Caenorhabditis elegans: one gene and its partner. The protein of the gene in region 1 interacts with the protein of each later gene in a pairwise test. Each region holds a gene or a part of one and is shown on either strand. Other genes may lie near its edges.

Evidence for each region. The genes of interacting proteins can lie anywhere in the genome.
Region 2: the proteins of drp-1 (region 1) and nhr-108 interact in a two-hybrid assay, tested with the Caenorhabditis elegans proteins (one large-scale study listed by BioGRID).

Annotation. Positions count from the first base shown.
Region 1 is NC_003282.8:5,536,848-5,543,590, forward strand, and holds drp-1 (Dynamin-1-like protein drp-1), read left to right. Parts: upstream 1-1,640; 5' UTR 1,641-1,642; coding exon 1,643-1,955; intron 1,956-2,005; coding exon 2,006-2,571; intron 2,572-2,616; coding exon 2,617-3,366; intron 3,367-3,482; coding exon 3,483-3,633; intron 3,634-3,683; coding exon 3,684-3,773; intron 3,774-3,825; coding exon 3,826-3,920; intron 3,921-3,971; coding exon 3,972-4,088; intron 4,089-4,137; coding exon 4,138-4,194; 3' UTR 4,195-4,518; downstream 4,519-6,743. Other genes in the region: Sex-determining protein fem-1, read right to left, coding at 1-207, 263-351, 399-504, 555-601, 651-711, 756-881, 935-1,009; tebp-2 (SPK domain-containing protein), read left to right, coding at 4,790-4,974, 5,043-5,738, 5,784-6,251, 6,301-6,743. UniProt on the Caenorhabditis elegans protein: Functions in mitochondrial division. Functions in peroxisomal division. Mediates membrane fission, perhaps mainly of the mitochondrial outer membrane. Mitochondrial fission may be promoted by recruitment to mitochondrial membranes via the egl-1/ced-9 complex.
Region 2 is NC_003283.11:15,921,283-15,926,638, reverse strand, and holds nhr-108 (Nuclear hormone receptor family member nhr-108), read left to right. Parts: upstream 1-2,166; 5' UTR 2,167-2,234; coding exon 2,235-2,317; intron 2,318-2,374; coding exon 2,375-2,645; intron 2,646-2,719; coding exon 2,720-2,909; intron 2,910-2,959; coding exon 2,960-3,071; intron 3,072-3,120; coding exon 3,121-3,481; 3' UTR 3,482-3,597; downstream 3,598-5,356. Other genes in the region: F35E8.13 (ShKT domain-containing protein), read right to left, coding at 485-873, 988-1,249, 1,297-1,395; cdr-1 (CaDmium Responsive), read right to left, coding at 3,866-4,015, 4,069-4,327, 4,380-4,447, 4,497-4,619, 4,967-5,098, 5,162-5,263. UniProt on the Caenorhabditis elegans protein: Orphan nuclear receptor.

The sequences.
Region 1 (6,743 bases):
CAGAACATCCAGAAAACCGGAAAGTGCTGCACCCATCAATGGATCAACTCCTTGTATGTCTTTCATGAGGACCGATCCGTGTTTCAGAAGAATTTTCACAACTTCCACATTTCCACTTTCTGCAGCGTCATGAAGAGCCGTATTTCCTCTCTCGGTTTTCTTGTTCACATCGATTCCGGTTTTTAGGAGCTCTTCCACAATTCCAACCTACAAAATTTTAGTTTTTCTCATATTTTGTTAATTAAAAATTTCAAAATCATACTTTATTTCTGTAGGATGCAATCATCAGGCACGTATGACCATGACGATTCGGTATATGTGGATCTGCACCTTTTTCGAGTAAATATTTCACTGAAAATCTTATTTTTAAAAAAGCTTCTTCGACTTCAAGGAATTACCAATATCCAAGTGTCCATCGTAACATGCACCTCTTAATGGAGTACTTCTTGTGTTAGTTGCTTGATTTACATCTGCATTTGCCTTTTCGATCAAGAGCTTTACGATCTGAAATCGAAATAAAACATTATTGCATTAAATAATGAAATATTTTTCACTTCAATGTGTCCAGCAGCGGAGGCAGCCCACAAAGGAGGTGTTCCTTCTGAAAACTATTGTTTTATTTTCTTTTCAGAACAGAAATAAAAACTTACGAATGTTTTCGTTGTCAAATTCCACAACACCACGAACAGATGGATCGGCTCCAATTTCTAGCTGAAAATCTTCTCATTTAATTAATTAATTTTCATTTTTCCCACCAAATATTCGACGACATTTGCGTGTCCATTTCTTGCAGCAATCACAAGTGGATATCGTCCGTCTTGATCAGAATTGAAGCAATCAATTATCCATTGTCGATCGTTTCTTGAATTTATTGTGAAAACCTGGAAATTCATTTATTTTGACAACTTTTCTTTAACTTGAGCTTTTTGCTTACTTTAATTCTCTGCAAATTTCCAACCGCCGCAGCATTATAAATTACTGTTCGAAAATGATGTCCATTTGGTGTCATACCGCCAATTTTTCCAAAAAAAAACTGGCGGAATTTTAATAGAAATTGCAGAAATTCGAGAAGAAAAAGAAAAGAAAATACTCCTCGTGATTTGTCGTCGGATAGGGTGCACGGTCTGCAATCTGACGTGAGGATTATTGCGGAGTGCTCGAAATTTTGAGTTCAGCGCCGCGGCGGAAATATCGGATATCAGAGATTTTCCCGTCGGTTTTGTCAACTTTTGCCTCAATTTTATCAATTTTTCCGTAAAAATCTCAAAGATCGTTACTGTTTGTATCATTGTTTGAAACAAACTACGCAGAATGATGCAAAATTGTATAGGAACTCCCATGGTTGACATTTTCCCAGGGAAAAATGAGTAAGTGGCAGGATCGAAAAGATGATATAAAAGTTGGCGTTCACAGTCAATCGAAGGCCAAGTAGACTATCTGAATTTCTATTTGCGCACATTTTATCACTTGTTATCACTGGTGTGTTCAAATGCATTGTTTTTCACTTTGTGATCACTGGCAGTTGTTCTTTCTCATTTCAAACATCATTTCGCAACTGCCTCGTCATTTTTACTCTTCTCCTCGTAAAACTCTTTATATAAATGATACTCTCATTTCGATTCAAAAATTTTAAATTTTACAGATGGAAAATCTCATTCCTGTCGTCAATAAACTACAGGATGTTTTCGCAACGTTAGGCAGGAAAGAAGATCAAATTCAACTTCCACAGATTGTAGTCGTCGGATCACAGTCGGCCGGAAAGTCTTCAGTGCTCGAAAATCTAGTCGGTCGGGATTTTCTGCCGCGTGGTACTGGAATTGTCACTCGCAGGCCATTGATTCTTCAGTTAAATCACGTTGCTCTCGATGATGAATCCAAAAGAAGACGGTCAAATGGAACACTTCTCACAGATGATTGGGCAATGTTCGAACATACTGGCTCTAAGGTTTTCACAGGTGAGAATTTAGTAATTTGAATATTGCGAGAAATTTAAACAATTTTCCAGACTTCGATGCCGTGCGAAAAGAAATCGAAGATGAAACTGATCGTGTAACTGGAGTGAATAAAGGAATCTCTCTTCTTCCAATCAGTTTGAAAATTTATTCCCACAGAGTTGTCTCCCTCTCCCTGGTCGATCTTCCCGGCATCACAAAGATCCCAGTTGGTGATCAACCAGTCAATATTGAAGAGCAAATCCGTGAAATGATTCTTCTCTACATTTCAAATCCTTCTTCTATCATTCTGGCTGTAACTCCAGCGAACCAGGATTTCGCTACTTCGGAGCCTATCAAGTTAGCTAGAGAAGTGGACGCAGGTGGACAAAGAACTCTCGCAGTTCTCACGAAATTGGATTTGATGGATCAAGGAACTGATGCGATGGACGTATTAATGGGGAAAGTGATTCCAGTAAAGTTGGGAATTATTGGAGTCGTTAATCGATCTCAACAGAATATTCTCGACAACAAACTGATCGTGGATGCAGTGAAAGATGAGCAAAGCTTTATGCAAAAGAAATATCCAACATTAGCTAGCAGAAATGGAACTCCTTATTTGGCAAAGAGATTGAATATGGTAAGAATTTCAATAAATAAAAAATTATTTAGAAATTAATTTCAGCTTCTCATGCACCATATTCGCAACTGTCTTCCTGCACTGAAAGCCCGCGTGTCTATCATGAACGCCCAATGCCAATCGGATCTTGTTGCATTCGGTGAACCAGTTGAAGATAAGAACAGAACACTTCTTCAAATCATAACTCGATTCGCAACTGCTTATACATCAACTATCGAAGGAACTGCCCGCAATATTGAAACAACTGAGCTATGCGGAGGTGCTCGTATATGCTACATTTTCCACGATACCTTCGGAAGATCTTTGGAATCTGTCAATCCATTGGAAAACCTCACACAATTGGATATTTTGACTGCGATTAGAAACGCGACAGGACCAAGGCCAGCTCTTTTCGTACCAGAAGTCTCATTTGAATTGCTTGTCAAGCGACAAATTCAACGATTGGAGGAGCCATCGTTGAGATGCGTTGAGCTGGTACACGAAGAAATGCAACGAATGGTTCAGCATTGCGGATTCACTACTCAACAGGAGATGATTCGTTTCCCAAGATTGTACGATAAAATCAATGAGGTCGTTAGTGGAGTTCTGAAAGAGAGGCTGAAGCCCACCAATGAGCTTGTCGAGAATCTTGTAGCCATTGAACTTGCTTACATTAATACAAAACATCCAGAATTCACAGAAGCCAATTTGGTGACACTTTTGAAAGAGGAGCTTCTTCTCGACGATCGGCATGGTCGCAGTAGAAATCGACATGCATCAACCGGAGAAAGAGCGGTCAGTGCTCATGGAGAACAGGTGGGGGCAGGAACTTCCTGCCAGGAAGTGCGGATGACTGACTGGGCTTTAATATTGCATGGGCTTAACCTCATTGGATTCCTAGTATTAAGCAGTCAAATTAAAACAATTTTCAGCAGCTACAACCGGTACCAGGAGTTAATGGTGTCGACTTGAACGCTGTTCTTCAACAACAACAGCAGCAATCCCAGAACCAACGTGCTTCCAATGGATTCCTTGGATTATTCGGCAACGCCGCTGCCAGCAGCAAGACGTCCCCACAAGAAAGTCAGTGGAAAAATAAAGAGTTTGTGGTCATTCAGTATCTATATTTTCAGAGCAATCAGCAAATTTTTTGCCAGAAGTGCCAGAGACGCAACTAGGAAGAAAGTTGACAAGTCGTGAACAAAGAGATGTCGCTATTATCGGTATGAGACCTAGTTTTCAGTTTTTAATTTGGGTTTTTTTTTATTTTTTCAGAACGGCTTATTCGAAACTATTTCATCATTGTTCGTAAGAATATTCAGGATAGTGTGCCGAAAGCTATTATGGCGTTACTGGTCAATTTTGTTAGAGTGAGTTGCAAGCTTAAATTTAAAAATTTAAATTAATTTCTTTAATTTCAGGACAATTTGCAATCGGAGCTCGTTCGTCAGCTGTACAAACCCGACGAGATGGACGATTTGTTGGCTGAAACTGAAGACATGGCTCAGAGAAGAAGAGATACTCTTGAAACTATGAAGGTATTCGGTCTCCTTTTTGATTGGATTCGACACAATTTATTGTTTTCAGGCCCTCCAACAAGCCAGCGTGATCATCAGCGAAGTGAGAGAAACACAAGTTTGGTGATATTCCCATCAAATAATTTCCAGCTGTTTTAACTATTGCAATGTAGATTAGGACGATTCTAATTTTATTTTCACGATTGATTCGATTTATTGTATTTTAACTATTTTTCTTCTTCTCTTCGCCTCGATGATAATTCTAGTTCGGTAACTCCCCCGTTTCTGTATGATCTCTATGCTCCGTTCCCTTTGATGTTTTCTTTTCATGATAATATTGTGTGCTCCTTGAAAGAATCACGGTTTGTTGTAGATTCTAGTTTTTTTTGTGGCTTTTGAAAATATTGGAAACAGAAAGGTGGATTTATATGAAATTCTTTGATGATGCTTGAAAATATTTCGTGTTTATCGTTGATTTTCTCGTTGAACTATTTTTAATATCTTTTTTCCGACCCTTTAAAAAATGTTCACTCAACATGCGCCAATAGCACTGCTGGCGCATTTCGAGTGTCACTCGATCTGCGCCAACAGCTGAGATTGACCACGCCCATAGAACCGTGCGGCAATTGCGCTTTTGCTTCATCCGCACGGTTTTGAAAATTTTAGGATTCATTTTTTGTTTTGTCCAAAAAATTCATTTTCGATATTTCAGCGTTCAAAAAATGTCAACGCGAGCAAAGAAGAATAAGCCGTCAGAACCGTCATTCGACGATGAGCTCCTCATTTGGGAGTTCATTTACGAAAATACGTGTAATATGCAGTTGTTCGATGACGTGAATTTGGACCTCTTCAAGCAATATCTACAAGAACATGAGTCTGTGTTTACGGCGGAGCAGCTATACGAATTGTAAGTGTTTTTCATTTTTAGTTGTTTAAACTTTGACCAAACCAAAAGCTCTAATTTTCAATTTTCAGCTACGTTACAAGAATGAAAGCTACGCTTTACAAATGTGAGCTGGAGCCGCGAAAAATGCTCACTCTTTACAAGAACCTGGAGATCGAAATGAATCAACATGTCGAGACTTTACTGGAGGCCAGATTCAAAACTGTTCTGCGTGTTGACTCGAATAGATGTCTTCAGAAGTTCTCCGAGTTTTCAGCCCCGGAAACTATTCCCGAAACACTTGAAGAAACCGTCCCAGCAACCGCTCCAGAACCCGAACGTTCTCGAAAATTAGTGAATCGAATGCCGCTAGATGTAGAAATCTCCGATTCCTTCGAGAAGCTGATTTGGAATCATGTCTACCTAAACGCCGACCGTCTAACCGGGAAAATTGTGATGGCTGAAGAATTTTGGGACCAGCTGCTCCAATCACAACCGAATATTCCCATCAAGTCGGCTTACATTGTGCTCCACCATTTCAACATAAAGATGCTCGAGAACCTCTGGAAGCAGCCGATGGATCCGTATGCTAAAGCACGGCTCATAAGAGACTTGGCGGTGCCATTGAGTCTTCGTCAGCGTAAATGGATGCTCGACAATGATCGTCTGAATTTGAAATTGTCATTGAACGGATTTGTGGAAGACTGGGATATTGTGCCAGACCAGCCAGCTCCACGTAGCAAAATTCTTCCCTGGAGGCCAAGAACTCCGGCCGGACACCGAGACAGGTATCGGAAAATATCATTTCAGAAGTTTAACTAGAATTATTTCAGATCCCCCAGTAGTCCTATGGCACATCTAGACAATATTCAACCACCATCTCCGATTCAAGTTGTTTCGAATCCAACATTATCGTCCGAATTAAGTTCAAGAGCTTCCAGGGATCAACCAGGACCTTCACGCCCGCGATCGCAGTCAGCCAATGTACGTGAAACGTATGCGCCGAAAAGGATTGAGAAGCGAACGAAATTCACAGTCGACGATCATGTGGTTGCGTGGAAGTTTATCTATGAGAAGTTGGTTGAGGCAGATAAGGAAGGTGTCCAGTTGATGCCCAAGGGGATCGCGTTCTGGAACGATTTTGTCAGAGTCACACGATCGTCGAAAAGTGCAACTAATTGGAGTTCGCACTTTCGAAAGATCATGTGCCCAGGGCTCCACGAGATGCCACTTCACAAGAAAACCATTCTCTACCTGCTTAAGAATATTGGTATTGAAATTGATAAGGAGACTGAGCAAATGTAAGTTTAGAAGTCGTTCATAATCCATCGTAAAACTTACTCGTTTCAGCATCGAGCGAAAGTTTAACGTAAAGCTCCTCGTTGGAATAGACCGCAACTTGATATCCTATAAGCTTTTGGATGCAGAAGAAGAAGAAGTGATTGAGGAAGACGACGAATCGGAAGAAGTTGCTACTCTAGAGGTCATGGATGTTGATGATGAAGATCTGGATGAGACGGTTCCACTTGAATCAAATGAGGCCATGATTCATATGGATGAAAATCTCGATACATCAGTTTTGTCTAACAAAACGATGGATTCTGTGAACAATCTAGAGAATTCTATCACCGAGAGTACAAATGACTTTACCGTTTTCGAAGGTACAGCTGCCGCTGTGCTCCTGCCTTCTGAAGTTGTATCTCAAGATGTTTTTGGATCACAATCCGACTCAACGGTTCCAGAATCTGCTCCAGAGCCGGCCGAGATTTCTTCAAGTTTGGTGGATTCTGATG
Region 2 (5,356 bases), on another chromosome or scaffold:
ATGTGTGCATGTTCTTCTTTTGCCGATCTACATTCCTTTGTTGCCCAACTTGTAATGTTATTTTATCCCTTTTTTATTAGATTATTGCATGACTGTTAGTTTGATTCATTGTGCTCAAGTTTTCTTGTTTGATTTTTCTGTTAATCTCTTTTTCATTTGCCTTTGCAATTTGGAAAATTGTCTCAAAAACTTGTTGAATGAATAGTGGAAAGTTAAACACTTTTTTTGGCATATTTCCGCCTCTGGAAAAATTCAATTACGGGCTGATATACAGATATTTACTGTTGCTCTTGTGCTACGATTATAGGAATTATGCTTTTTAACATTGTTGATGAAATGCAAGTGTTAGTATTTATTGAATCATGTTGGTCAGGCACGAAATATATAATACTAAACATCAATACCAAAAACTCTAATATCATGTTCGTCGTCATCCCCTAATGTGTGCTCATCGTCTCAAGTTGGTCAAAGAGGTATCAAGAAATCAGCAGATTCTGCAAGTAGTCGCACAGTATTGTCTTCTCTGTGCGAGAGTGTAGAAAGTGTTGGTGCAGAAGTTCTTTCCAGCCCAGGCAGCACATGATGGACTGGTATCAGCGATGAAAGAAGAACAGGTTCCAGTAGAAGCAGATGATCGGGTAGTTGTTGAAGATGCACATTTTCCACAGGTTCTCTGGCAGTAGGTGGCCACAAAGGTTTCGAGTCCAGCGGCGGTGCAAATTCTTATGTCATTTGCACAGTCGGGAATAGCATCAACGCATCCTCCCTCATTGCAGAATCCGCAGGCAGATGGACAGTCCGCAGCGATAATTGGTCTCCAAACCGGTGACAGACATTGGGAGGCGGTGATGGTGCCACAGTTGAGACGTGGATCTGAAAAAACAGACCAGTTAGACTAGATAGCATCGATTGTCTTTGGTTCTCTATTTTCTAGAACAGACAAGATTACAGAAGCCGTAGAACTACTGAAGCATGAGTTTGACTCACATGCAACATTTGGGCAGTTGTAACCAGAAGTCTGACAACATAATCCGCAAGTTCTTGGGCATGTGCTCTGAGCTGCATTCTTCATGTCTTGAACTACAGCAGCTGGAGTCGCGGTAGCAGTCGTATAACAAGCCAATGGTCTCTGCTGATCTCTTCCTGGTGATGGATATCCGTCAGCTGCAACTGGGGCAGGGTACAGAACTGCGCAGGATGAATCGGAGATGACATTGCTGCATGCAGTGGCAGCTGCGTTCCAGACAAACTGAAAATCTTAAGATGCGTAAAAGCGGCAGTATCCCGAAAACTTACAGCAGTTCCGTTGTAAGATGTACAGTTAAGATCTCCTCCAATGACTGCACTGGCTTGTGGGGCCAGAAGTGCCAGGATGAATGAAACCAAAGCAATCATTCTGCTGATTTAATTGAGCTTCTCTGTGTGACCAAGACGAGAGCCGAAGAGGGAAGTTTCCACTGTCAGACCATGTATTTTATACTAGTTCAGAGTAACTTTGAACACCTGTTTCGAACAGTCTCCTTACCAAATTGCTCTTAGTGCACCCAGTTTTAGTTTTGAATTGTTTGAACAGAAGAATACCTGTCTGGCCAACGCCGGCCAAAAAATGTAATTGCACATTTTGCTTGCTCTTTTGGATAGTTTCAAATATTCTTACTTTTTTAAAGGAATAATAATTATTCTATAAGACATATTTCTATCCGCAATTCAGTGTGATTTTTTACAGTCACTTGAAAATACTCAAAATACTATAAATCCAACTTACAAAAAGTATAGTTTTTGCAGTTATTTATTTGCACAGATGCATTTTTTGGTTTCACAATATCCACGTCAAAATTAAATGGCAAATAGTGGATTTCATGATTTCTTGAACAATTTTTTTATATTTTAGAGACCGGTAGAGTTTGTTATACGAGTGTTAACCCGATCATATTTTACTTTCAATAATTTAATGGTAAAATTGAAAACCACTGGAGATTTGGAGAATGCCAAAAACAAATGATAAACTCAGGGAATAACTTTAAAGTTATAATAAACGAAGAGCAAATTTAATAATCCATATTTCCTATTTTTATTTTAATCAATTAATTTCTCAAAAACGTATCACGGCCCTACGCAGACTACATTAAAGATAAGAAAACATGTCTCGACAAATTGTTTCTTTTTCATTCTGCGTCTCTATCCTACCGATACACACTTCTTAACTAAATTTTAAATTTCTTTTCTGAAATAAAATGTCTAAAAAATCTGAAAATCAGCCGTGTATGGTGTGCGGAGAGATATCTTATAGTATCCGGTTTGGGGCAGTTTCATGTAGGTAAGTTTTTAGTATTGAATTTATGTTATAAAATTTATAATTCCGACAATTGTTCAGGGCTTGCGCAGAATTTTTCCGACGCAAGATAGTTTCAAAAGCTAGAATACCAAAACGGTGCAATGGTGCTTGTGATCTTGGAAAATATCACCGAAAAACTTGTCAAAGTTGTCGATTTCAAAAGTGTTTGAAAATTGGAATGTTGGAAAAAGTTGTAGCTTCCCGGACACCAGTCAATAGGAGAAGTGAAAACAATCAAACTATATTGTCGGGACTTGAAAAAGCATACGATAAATTGGAAAACTCCAGAGACAATGTTTTCGATAGAAAAGTGAGTTTTTCGGTTTTCCTCGGCCAGTCATAAGATTTCAGTAGTTAATCTAATACTAATTTTTCTAATTTCAGAACAAAATCCCCAAGTACTGCAATCACCAGGAACTGGATGACATGTTCGAAATTGACATAAAACTAATTTCCACGCATTTCATTCAATTTTTTGAATCTAAATCTTCATTGGAAAACAATCAAAATAAGGTTTTATCTACCCACTTCATTATTCGATTTTCACTTCTTGAAGTAGCTTTTAGAGCATTTGGTAAGACAGTTTTATAGTAATTTTAAGTTAAGCGGTAAAAATCTCTTCAGGGAAACCTACATACATTTTACCAAATAATGATATCATTGACGTATCCAAATTAGACAAAGTATATCAACATTTGGAAACAGGTGAAGATGAGAGAGGGAAGAACTCTCAAGTGTAGGTTTTATACCATTCAATTTTTATCCTAAAGAATAAAAATTTTCAGAATTCTACAAAGATTCTGGCAAATGAATGAGAAAACCATGAAAACTGAAGTGTTTCCTGTAAACTTGGATCAATCTGAATTTCTATTTCTATGTGCACTCATCTACTGGGATTTTGGAATTGAAAATCAATCTGAAAAGTGTTTGGAAGAGTGTCAACGGATGCGTACTCAAGTTTTAAAAGAACTCACTGAGTATGAAAAATCAAACTATCCAGAAAATGAACTCCGAGTTGCTCAAGTGATTGGCATCTTGCAAGCTCTGCAAAAAACATTGGACGTGATTCAACACAGCGGATACATTTCAAATGTGTATAATTTAAAAGGAAAACAATGCCCATTGTATGAAGCTACGAATGAATAATAACTTTTTGTCAGAATGGTAATAAATACACCATGTAATTTGACCTCTATCAGTTGCCCCAAATATACACAAGTATTTTTCAGCTTGCGTTATACAATAAAGTTCTTGTGACGTCATATGCTTCGTCGACAATAATTCATCGCCTGACGTTTGTCTGAAAACTGCCCGGTTTACAAACAATTGCACCATGTGCGCCCGATTCTTGTTGTATTTTTTTACCGCACTGTATTGTTGGTGTGGCGAGAGGCAGAAGGAGGTCGCCGAAAGTCGACGAGGCAGGCTTTTTGGACCCTGCCTTGCTCGCGAATTGAAGTATGTATACGTTTAAAACGTAAAACACCACGTAAAATTTTATTGATCTGACTACTAGTTTGACAATTTAATTCACATAGTAAAGTCCTTTGGGTAAACTTCATGACGAACTCTTTCACAGTACTCCAATAACTTTGGGAAGTCCTTTTCGAGAACATCCGAAATGTGATTGCGGAATGGATAATAGACAGTTGCCAATTGAGAGAAGACTGTTGCATCCGCCTGAAAATAAATAATTTCTTGCCAGATACAATTTTATTAGACTGTGTATTTACCGCCGTGATTTCCTCCCCGAAAAGAAACTTTTTCTTGGCCAAGGTGTTCTCTACGATTCGCAAATCTCTGTGAAGAATCTCGTCGAGCTCACTCAATTCAAAATCTCCAATGGCTCCCTGACATTTGTTGTAGACATTTTTCCCGATTATAGCCTTCAAAAGGGGCATGAGAAGGAAATTCAGGAAGGTTGGGAGACCGATTATTTCAATAATGGTTTTGTAGAATTCGTCGACAGCAATTTTAAATCGTATAAGTACGCTGAAATAAAAGTTTTATGACAACGGGAACCATAGTTTGTAAGTTTACTTACAAGAACAAATGGTGATCTGCAAACTTGCTTAGAGCAACAGATTGAGTTTCCAGCTCAGTTGGAAGCGACTGCAAAGTTACAGAAATATAAGATGTAACAGAATAAAGTTTCACTCACCGGAATTTTAAAATGTGATCTCAAGCGCATTTCGATAAGATCAGAATCAGCAATGTGCTCTCCATTGAGTTCAACGAAAGGGACCAATCCATTCCGAGAGCGTTCAGAGGTGCATGTGATAATCTATAAATTGATTGAGGATAAGGCGCTGAAACTTTTTTTGGAGAAAGGCGATCATTCTCTATAAAGTATAAGCTTTTTGAAATATGTTGGGCTTTCGAAAAAAAAATTCCGAAAAATTTTTAGATGAAAAATAATTTTCAAAATGTTCGTATACTTTTAAGCATCCTAAACACATTGAAATTTGCAAAAAAAAAAAAGTTTTAGAGAAACTCTACATTTCTGAAATTTAAAAAATGAAATTTTGGAAACGCTTGATTTTTTTACAGATATTTACGGATTCCTACTTTAAAATTATTTATTTTTGAATCGAGTGATAAAGTTTAAATACCTATCTGGTAAGAAAATACCTCGTAAGGAATCTTGAAGATTCTACAAAGAATCTCGATTTTCATGCAGAAAGGGGACAAGTTCGGACAGTTCTTGAGTCTCTTCATCTGATACAGATAGACTACATCCTTTTTGTAGTCTTTTTTGTGAATCTGAAATATGTCTGGATAAAACTATCCAGGCTGGATTTCAAAGCCTGGATAGTTTTTACTTACATCAGGTTTTGGTTTAATGCTAGGAACAGTGAAGAAATTTTTCAAGTAAATGACAGCGGCTCCAAACAGCGCAGCAGTAATAATCAAACATGAATCCAACATACTTGAGACAGTAGTACATATCTTTTTACAGCATTCCTTTATATACTTGCCACCCCGATGACATAATGTGATAAGAAAGTAGGGAGAACTGTG